Linked DNA regions of Arabidopsis thaliana. The protein of the gene in region 2 binds, or shares a complex with, the protein of the main gene of each other region. Each region holds a gene or a part of one and is shown on either strand. Other genes may lie near its edges. The genes, in order: RRP4 and RRP41.

What was found.
Region 1: RRP41 (region 2) and RRP4 share a complex: the UniProt entries of both Arabidopsis thaliana proteins name them as parts of the RNA exosome complex.

Annotation. Positions count from the first base shown.
Region 1 is NC_003070.9:822,983-827,204, forward strand, and holds RRP4 (ribosomal RNA processing 4), read left to right. Parts: upstream 1-1,534; 5' UTR 1,535-1,670; coding exon 1,671-1,831; intron 1,832-1,908; coding exon 1,909-2,010; intron 2,011-2,119; coding exon 2,120-2,165; intron 2,166-2,270; coding exon 2,271-2,360; intron 2,361-2,439; coding exon 2,440-2,505; intron 2,506-2,604; coding exon 2,605-2,673; intron 2,674-2,762; coding exon 2,763-3,197; 3' UTR 3,198-3,417; downstream 3,418-4,222. Other genes in the region: AT1G03350 (BSD domain-containing protein), read right to left, coding at 1-1,264; AT1G03365 (RING/U-box superfamily protein), read left to right, coding at 4,200-4,222. UniProt on the Arabidopsis thaliana protein: Non-catalytic component of the RNA exosome complex which has 3'->5' exoribonuclease activity and participates in a multitude of cellular RNA processing, maturation and degradation events.
Region 2 is NC_003074.8:22,800,524-22,806,124, reverse strand, and holds RRP41 (3'-5'-exoribonuclease family protein), read left to right. Parts: upstream 1-2,020; 5' UTR 2,021-2,290; intron 2,291-2,932; exon of another isoform or gene 2,933-3,044; 5' UTR 3,045-3,103; intron 3,104-3,203; 5' UTR 3,204-3,214; coding exon 3,215-3,268; intron 3,269-3,357; coding exon 3,358-3,404; intron 3,405-3,496; coding exon 3,497-3,557; intron 3,558-3,649; coding exon 3,650-3,691; intron 3,692-3,770; coding exon 3,771-3,835; intron 3,836-3,922; coding exon 3,923-4,001; intron 4,002-4,095; coding exon 4,096-4,132; intron 4,133-4,221; coding exon 4,222-4,424; intron 4,425-4,508; coding exon 4,509-4,598; intron 4,599-4,695; coding exon 4,696-4,743; 3' UTR 4,744-4,904; downstream 4,905-5,601. Other genes in the region: CRF6 (cytokinin response factor 6), read right to left, coding at 1-851; AT3G61610 (Galactose mutarotase-like superfamily protein), read right to left, coding at 5,096-5,304, 5,385-5,484, 5,579-5,601. UniProt on the Arabidopsis thaliana protein: Non-catalytic component of the RNA exosome complex which has 3'->5' exoribonuclease activity and participates in a multitude of cellular RNA processing, maturation and degradation events.

The DNA.
Region 1 (4,222 bases), on a different chromosome or scaffold from region 2:
TACTCATATCCTCGATCTCGTCCCATCCCAAATCCTCTTCAGATGGTTGTTGAGTTGATGAAGAAGCAGCCACATCTGGTTTAGCTGAGTCTTGGGATGGAGCAGCCTCATCAGATTTTGGTTTGACAGAATCTTGGATTGGAGCCTCATCAGATGTTGGTTTGACAGAATCTTGGATTGGAGCCTCATCAGACGCAGGAGGAGCAGCATCAACAAATGATTTTTCTTCTGGAACTTCCTCACTATCAGTCTCCTTCTTTTCCTCAGAATCTTTATCTGTCTTCAAACCAACATTGCTCACTTCAGTCACTGAATCTGCACTTGTCACTTCATCTTGCGTGCTCACTTTAGCCACTGAATATGTACTTTCCACTTCATCTTTCACAGTTTCACTCACATCTCCACCACCCATACCATCATTCCCTTCAAGTTTCAACCTTGAAACATCTTTGGTAGCTTCAACAACTTTCTCGCTGCTCTCCTCTTCATCATCAATATCCCAGCTCAATTCTTCTTCATCATCCAGAGAGATGGCTCGTTTCACAAGATTAGCCCTTAAATCCTCAGCTTGCTTGAGCTTGTTAACCCTATAGAAATACCTAAACCAGAAGGTCTCGTGATCAACCATACTCGGAACGACCCTTTTATACACTCCTTTCATATCACCATTTTCCTCCAACAATTTCTCCATCTCCTCAGCTTTTCCATCCAGAGAAAACGCAGATTCCCACTTTTTGTAATCATCTGAATCCTCAGGCTCTTCACAGTAAGTGTTGAGATCTCCTTGAACAGCACGAATCTGAGCATCGAAACGACTATATGGTTTCGAACTGAAGCTATCACGACGACCAAAACTCTGACTACTATTGTTATCAGAAGAATCAGATTCATTACCAGCGGCTAAAATCGCTTCCTTACCTTGAGCAATAATCTCAGCCGTACCTTTTAGCACCGTGTTCCCAAGCTCATCAATCGCATGTCCCACCGTACCAAGCGATCCCTGAGCCACCTCGATCTCTTTCTTCAAACCTGTGCCAAATTCTTCGAGATCTCGTCGGTAGGTTTCAATCACGGATTCGGATCTGGTGGCTAGAGTTTTCATCAGACCACCGAAGCTCCATCCACCGTCGTCGTTAGATTCAGATTGCTCTGGATGTTCTTGCTCTGGATGTTCATGCTCTTCGCTGTGTTTCGGTGAATCGGATTCGGATTCGGTTTCTGGAGGATCTAGGTCTTCCGTGAAGACGGATTTGAAGAAATTCATAGCGTAAAGCTCAGATCTTACCAATCGGTACTCTCAGATAATTTGTTTGATCCGTGAAAGAATCAATTTGAAGAGTGAAGGATTCGAATTAGCGTCAGAAATAGGAAGATCACAAAAGACTTGAAGCTTGTCGCTGCAGAGACGTCTAATTTTTTTCCCATTTTTTTAATGAAGATAAATAATACTTTATTTGGCGTCAATTATCAGATTAATGGGCCAGAAGTTTTATAAATGGGCCAGAAGTTGGATATGTTAGTCCAACAAATAACACAAAACCCTAGAATTCATTCAAGGGAACTAACGTCAAGGTTTTTGCTCTTCTTCTCTCCCAAGTCCCAAACTCGTTTTGCATCGCCATTGTTGTGTTGCTGGAGCTAAATAGAGAGAAAGAGAGAGAGTGTCTGTGATGGTGATGAGAAAGCTACAGTTACCGTTGAGCCAGACGCAGAAGGTTAGGTTTGAGAGAGCAATCGAGCGGCTTCAATCACTGTCGTCGTCGGCTAACTCTGACGCTTCTGTTATCGTCACCGACTCTATTCCCGTCAACCATGACGATGCCTTCCTCAAGTAATTTCATCTCATTCTCCCTTCTGGATTGAAATTTTTGTCAAATTGCGTTTTCACGATTGGTTTTTTCATTAAAGGGGACATGGAACTTCCGAGGTCGATGGTGAGTTGCTCGCGACGGTCTGTGGAGTAGTGGAGCGTGTGGATAAGCTTGTCTATGTACGCACCTTGCGAGCCAGGTCTGTGATTGATCTTTGAATTTGTTTAGTTTCCCAGAAAATGTGAATAGAATGGACTCTCTACTCTGAGATTAAGTAGAACTGATGGTTTTGATGATCTACGTTTTAGGTACAAGCCTGAAGTTGGGGATATTGTGGTAGGCCGTGTCATTGAGGTAGATTTTTGTTTTGGTGTTTGGATTTTTGAAATCGGATTGAGTGAGTAACATAAAGGTTTCAATCACATTGCACAGTTACTGGATTGATCTTTACTTATTCAGGTTGCTCAAAAACGTTGGAGAGTGGAGCTCAACTTCAATCAGGATGGAGTACTGATGCTTTCTTCCATGAACATGCCTGATGGTATTCAGGTACAGTTTGATTCTTGATATTTTGCCATTTGGATGATTGCTTTTGGCTTCAATGATATAAGTTTATTGTTGTTGCCAGAGGCGAAGAACCTCTGTGGATGAACTCAATATGCGGAATATCTTTGTAGAGCATGATGTCGTATGTGTAAGTCCTGTGATTAGTAATGTTCCAATCTTTACATATCTTAACAGTTACGTCAACCTGACTAAAAGGGTTCCCTCTTTGGTTTGTTCAAACTCTTAGGCTGAAGTACGCAACTTTCAGCATGATGGTAGCTTGCAGTTACAAGCCAGAAGTCAGAAGTATGGCAAGGTTGGTTCTCATTTGGTCACATGCTCATGTAGTTATACCTTTCGCTAGTCTCTTCCTCTGAACATTGATTAATCCATGAATCGCTACAGCTCGAGAAGGGACAACTTCTGAAGGTCGATCCTTACTTGGTTAAGAGAAGCAAACATCACTTTCATTACGTAGAAAGTCTTGGGATTGATTTGATTATTGGCTGCAATGGTTTCATATGGGTTGGAGAACATGTCGAAGTGAGAGATCCTATGGCAATAGATGATCAGAAAGATGAGGAAATGATCTCATCCTCCTCCACAGGAAAAGAGCAAAGCCATATTCCACTCGAGACTCGACAAACCATATGCAGAATCGGGAATGCGATACGTGTCTTGTCTAATCTAGGCTTCACCGTGACACTAGAAGTAATCATGGAGACTGTTAACCTCAGTAACTCAAAGAATATTGACATACATGATATGCTTGGATCAGAGTTTCACGTTGTGGTAGCAGAGAATGAAGCTGAAAGAAGACGTACAAAGAGGAAAAAGTGAAAACTACCCCTTTTTGTCACTGATGTATCAGAGACTTGTAACGTGTATTAGATCATTCGGTCTTGTTTGTTACTCAGCTTCTATTGAAAGTTCGAATTTTAATCTGATTGAGATATGTAGTATGATGGATGTGTTTGATACTATTAACTGTACATCAGATTAGATTAGTCGAGTTATGTCTTTTGGAGACGGCTTTCTTCTTTCATTCATGAATTTATCGGTTTCGACTTTTGTAGCTGAAATTCGTTTTGTGAAAGGATCTACAGTTGCAGAAACAACATAGAAAAGATTCGCTGCCCTTTTTAGCTCGGAGAAGGGATAATTGGGAAATGACTAAAATACCCTCATGAGAATCCAAGTAATAACAGCGATTACCAAACCTCTTCTCTCATTCACGAAACAGTGTTCTACGGCCAATTTCTCTCGCTCGCTCCACACTCCCAAAACAATATTCTTCTTCTTCGATTTCTCACTCTCTGTTTGTCGCTACCGATCTTATTTCCCGCTATTTTTGTTCCGGCGCCGTTCTCCTTAAAGTCGCTATTGTCTTCGTTGAAGGTCAGTTTACGGCCTTTTTTAAATCCATTTTGGTGTATTCGTGATTGTTTGTGGGTTGAATGATCGTGCGATTATTTGGGGTTTTTAATTAATTTCGATTCAGTAACGGTTCTGAATTGCATTGCGATTAAGCACTTAATCAGAAAGTAGTACGCTTTAGATTTGAGGAATCTCTGTACATTTACTAGGCAAAAAGTTTACTTTTTTTTTTTGGCGTATTTCTGGGATTGCATTAGTTAGGCGATTGAATCACGTTTCTGAAAGCTACAACTAGGAGATGAAATCATCTCTCTTTTGCATGTATACAGATAATTTAGATGATTTTGGTCTAACATCTTTGATACTTTAATGGTTTTTGCATATGAAACAATTTCGTATCTATGTTCTACGCTTTTTTGTGTGTGTTTAACTTAAGTCGTTCATGTGTAATGGATTAAAAAGGTGATGAGTATAGTTCAAAAGCAAGA
Region 2 (5,601 bases):
TCGTTTTCTCCTTGTTTCGAAACCTCTGTGTTTGGTAACAACGTTGATTGGATTTTGGTTTCTTCATCGAGAAACAAAAGGTCAGGGGCAATTTCGGTATCCCAAAAACATTCGCCGGCGAGAGATAAATCCGGTAACAGATACGGATCCGGGAACACCAAACCCGCCGACGATTCTTCTTCTTCTTTTATAACCGTCGACTTTCTCTCCGGAGATAGCTCGATCGCTTCAATCTCATGCTCTGTTTCCTCGTTGACGTTGAATCTTAGAACAGAGGTCGGTGAATGAAGGCTCTGCCGAGAATCTCTACCGTAATCGCAGGCGGAAACCGTTTGGAGATCGATAACCGGCGTTGGCGTCGGCGGAGTTAGGAAATTCGTGAGCGCTTTAGGTCCTTTGAGATGAATCGCGGCTCTATCGTACGCTATAGCAGCTTCCTCCGCCGTGACAAAAGTCCCAAGCCAAATCCGAGTACGGCTCGACGGATCTCTAATCTCCGCCGCGAATTTTCCCCAAGGTCTCTGTCTCACGCCTCTGTACTTTTTAGGCTTCACCGACGTCGACACGTCATCTTCAACCACTACGCTTTCCTCCTCCTTGTGCTTACCTTTCCTCGCCGCGGTGGAGGAAGAAGATTCACCTTGGCAGAATCTAATCTCCTTCACGTATCGTTTCACTCTTGGAACCACCGTGACGTTGTTGTTGTCGTCGTCGTCGCTAGACGAGTCAGTAGCGAAAGGATCAGTAACAGTGATACGGACCAGTCTCGGAGACCCGTTAGATGGTGTAGCTGCTACGTTTGTGACCGTACGATTCTCTGTGAACTTCACTCGTCTCGTTCGTCTCTCCATAGAGAGAGAGAGAGAGAGGGAGTTAAAAAATGAAGAGAGGTTTTTTTCACTGTTTTGAATTTGCAGAGAGAGAGAGAAGAAGAGTCAAAAGGTTAAAGAAGAATCGCCGTTTCTCAGGAACATCCTTCTTAAATACTATTAACTCATCACTATTTTTGGAGATTTTTGTTTAGTAACGTGATTTTTTCTATGTAATTAATTTAATTAGATTTTAACTGTTACAGAGAAATTGATGCGTGTTCAACACTATTCATATGATATGAGACACTGACCCAATCAAAACTCATTCAACCTTATAACTAAACGTATCTTAAAATATAGTTGGTGAAATGACATACGTTTATCAAAGCTTAACCTATTGAAATTTAATCCGGTTAATGGAGTTTATAAACCGGGAATTAGATTTGGATTTAATGTAAAGAGGGACGATGCTTAAGGGCGGTTTCGTGGCGGCCAATGGGGGATCCAGAAACGGCTTTCCGCATCTCAGATTGAGACGTTAGATTTATGACACGTGGTAGTTACCGTACCGAAAGTAGAGCCAATTGTCCTAATCTATAGCTTGGTCTCCAAGCAACTTTTAACTCTTTTACGCGCGGTCTGTTTTACGTTTGCTACACGCGCCGGCTAGTGGGCTCCACGCGTGTGAGATTGGTCACGAGTATGTGTCAATTCGCATTGACCCAATATGGAAATTGTGAAGTTTAATGGTAATGAATCTAACGATGTGTTTGAAAGAGTAATAAAATCTCGTCTTTAATATTAAAATATATTTTTAATTTCGGAAAAAATTTATGATCTTTTGCTTGGAGACCAAGTCTCTTATCAGAAACTTTATTAGAAAAAGCTACTATTAAAAAGGTAACTAGAAATTAGATTTCCATAGTTAATGGTTGAGCTTTGACTAGATTTGGTCCTAAAATAATAATTGAAAAATAAGCTTTTATTATATCGATAATTCTACAAGTTAATATACCAAATCTTGTAACTTACAGTAATTCTATATTGTTTTATTTTGAACCTTATATAACTTACACGAATTCACCTGTGATTTTATAAAAAGATACATGTGATTTCAAGACTTTTTTTTTACGTGGGATTAGTCAGGTACTCGTGTTAAAAGTTAGACCTTAAAAATAACAGTCAGTTTGATTTAATAATAGTTAGTAGTATGTATATGGAACATTAAGTCGGAGAGGGGTTAAACTCTAGTGTATCGGGTTGCTTGGCATGGAACAGATATCGCGGAACCGGTAAGTCGGAGTGGTTAGCTTTCTGGGAGAGTTGTGGTGGGTTGGTGCGACGGCGGAGATAGGTGCAGATGGAAACCGGAATCTTCCAGCTGCGTTTCTCGATCCGTCGTCTGCGGCCGCAAAGCTGTGATGCTTGAGTCCGCCAGATATAAGGCTCCGACCACTCTGCTTCCGACCAGCAGCAAGGTTCGAACCTCTTTGTTTGTCGGTGACTTTTTCTGTTTAACCTATTTTGTAACTGGATTTCATCTGTGTATTGGGTCTTAGCCCATGCCCTATTGGGTTGTTTTTAATATATTAAAAAAAAAAAAATTGTATATGGAACATTAAATTGCATGACATTCGTTAGGATAGTCGTAGTAGGTACTACTTTTACTAGGTAGAGACTAGAGAGTGGTCTCTCTTAAATTGTCTAATATGGTTTTGTATACTTTTTGATCCAAACATACATACATAAAAAAAGAAGATGTTAGCAAACCTTAGTAAATAATTCCATCATCTCCTCCGTCAGGAACCCGTCATTTTCATATACCTCACTTTGCATTCATTTGTCGGCATTGCCACACGTAACTCCCGACACGTTGATACTACTATCAATATACTATTGACTTAGAAATTGATCTAGATACTATATTACTATTACTAATACATACTTGAAATAACAGAGTCAACAAGAAAAGCCTTGATAAAAGAAAACAACAACAATTTGAGCTATACTTTTGAAGGGATCTCACTCTTAATTCTCTTATTGCATGCATGTTCCCGCAATTTTGAGCTTTACTTTTCTTTGCAAGCGAATTACCAATTTGCCTGGCTTCATAAACTAGAAGTTATAAAAAAAAATCCTCCTGTGATTTGACGGTTTTACCCTTAAAATCTCACTTAATTCACAAAAAGGAACCAAAAAGCCCTAATCTTTATGTTGTCGACACTCTTTCAGTTCTCTCGACGCCGTCCATCGCCCTCCGTCATATCGCCGCCGCTAAAGTACTGGCAGAGGTAAATTCGTCTCTTGTTCCCTGTTCTGTGGGATCAGAAAGTATTAAACTTGTTCTGTTTCTGTCTTTCATTGCTCTCATCCTTGATTATCTCTACCTAGAGTTCACAACAATGGAGTACGTAAACCCTGAAGGTCTTCGATTAGATGGTCGCCGATTCAACGAGGTATGTTTGCATCTCTATTCACTGTCTTTGTAAGCCACTGCCTTCACAAGTTAATCGGTCTATTCGTGATTGCTTGTAATGAATCTCAGATGAGGCAAATCGTAGCTGAAGTTGGAGTTGTTTCTAAGGCTGACGGGTAAAACTCAAAATCTGTCTCTTATCTTTTTCCGTATCTCAGTTCTATATTCGGCACTTTTATATGAACAAAAATTCCAACTTTGTTTCCAGTTCTGCTGTCTTCGAGATGGGTAATACCAAAGTAATTGCAGCTGTTTATGGTCCAAGAGAGGTACTTGATTACTCTGTTACTCACCTATCAAGATTGATACTTTAATTGTATAATTCAGCGAATTGGTTATTTCTGTTAATGTGCTCCTTCAGATTCAAAACAAGAGCCAGCAAAAGAAGAACGACCATGCAGTGGTATGTATATGCTTTGATCTTGTTTAGTATTGTTCTTGGTGAATATGGAATGCTTATTGCTAATTGTATGTTTTGGTAGGTGTTGTGTGAGTATAGTATGGCTCAGTTTAGTACTGGTGATCGTAGAAGACAGAAATTCGACAGGTTACATTTTACTATATAGCTGAGAGACTCTTTGCTTTTTCTTACGAAAATCATAAAGTTTGAATTGTTGTGTATTATGATGGTCAGGCGATCAACAGAGCTATCTCTTGTCATCCGTCAGACAATGGAAGCTTGCATATTAACCGAATTGATGCCTCACTCTCAGGTTTACTTTTTACTCTCCGGCGATATTGAAATCTAAATTTTCTTTCTTCCTCCTCCTTTTGCTTGCTTCCTGATGAATTGTTTCCTTTATGCAGATCGATATTTTCCTTCAGGTTCTACAAGCTGATGGAGGTAAAATTAAACTAAACCTCTGTTCTGAAGTTGACCTTTTGATCTCTTTCAATCTCTGATCAGCCATTAGTGTTATGTTCTGTAATCAGGAACAAGATCAGCTTGTATCAATGCCGCGACTCTAGCTCTAGCAGATGCTGGAATTCCAATGCGTGATCTCGCTGTTTCCTGTAGTGCTGGATATTTAAACAGTACTCCTCTTCTTGATCTGAACTATGTTGAAGACAGTGCTGGAGGAGCTGATGTAACCGTCGGTATTCTACCTAAATTAGACAAAGTGTCACTCCTTCAGGTTTTTCTTCAACTCTTCATATCAGATTTCTATACATTCGCATTCAGATGATTCTAGACGCTTACGTTTGGGTTTAATGTGTAGATGGATGCCAAGTTACCGATGGAAACATTTGAGACAGTGTTTGCATTGGCTTCTGAAGGTTGCAAGGCAATTGCAGAGAGAATACGCGAGGTAACAATGGACTTCTGAATCTTTCTAAGTTTTCCCTTTCCACCATTGAAAAGCGTTCTTTGTTTTCTAAGTCTTTGGCTCTTCTGTCTTTGTGAAGGTACTTCAAGAAAACACCAAACAGCTAGAGTATCGCCGAGCTGCATAAACTTTAGAGTTAGAGAAAAAAACGTAAAGCTCCAAGATTTTTGTTAATTAGATTTTGCTGTTGTTTGTGGAAGTTGAGGATAAAAAGCTAGTAGTGCAAACTCTTTTTGGGAAAAATGAATCAATTTGGTAAAAAGATCAAACTGAATCGATTGAACACAACTTGTCCTCACATTCTTACATTAAGCCGAGGAAAAAAAAGACCAGAGGCTTTTTCTGTCACTACATCACAAGACTGGTCTGAGAAATCACCAGGTCATAAGCTCTAATGTGATAAAACAAGAATCAACAAAAAGAAAGAGATAAAAGAAACGGTGGCTCTGCTCTTCCAATGTTGCATACAGAAACTAGAGTCAGAATCCCTTGCTCTGTAGTTCGAGTTGATCGAAGCAGAAACTGGATTTAACAGCGGTCAATATTAGCCGGCCGGTCCATTCTTCTCCTGGCTTCAAAGTGATCGGTCTCTCCACTGCTGCACCATCCACACAAAGCATGCTTTTGTACTCTTCATCACCAAAATCCGCCATTGTTTTCGATTTCTTCTCCCATGGATTCCACACCACTGTACCATCCATCACGATTAATGAATCATATCATATACAACAAACAAGTAATCGAAACGAGTTGTTGTGCGATTATTACCGGTGTCTGGAAGTCCTTCCTTTCCGATAACATATGTTCTTTTCCGTTCATGATCAAGAACTGCAACCACCTTTGGTGATCTAAGGTATGTCCGGTCCATCTGAAACATGAATCAAAAGAAACTTCTGATATGAAGTAACCGAGCAAAGATACTTGTTCACTATCGATAACTGCAGAATCTTGTTAAGGTTTACCTCGGATTCAAAGGTTATTGCAT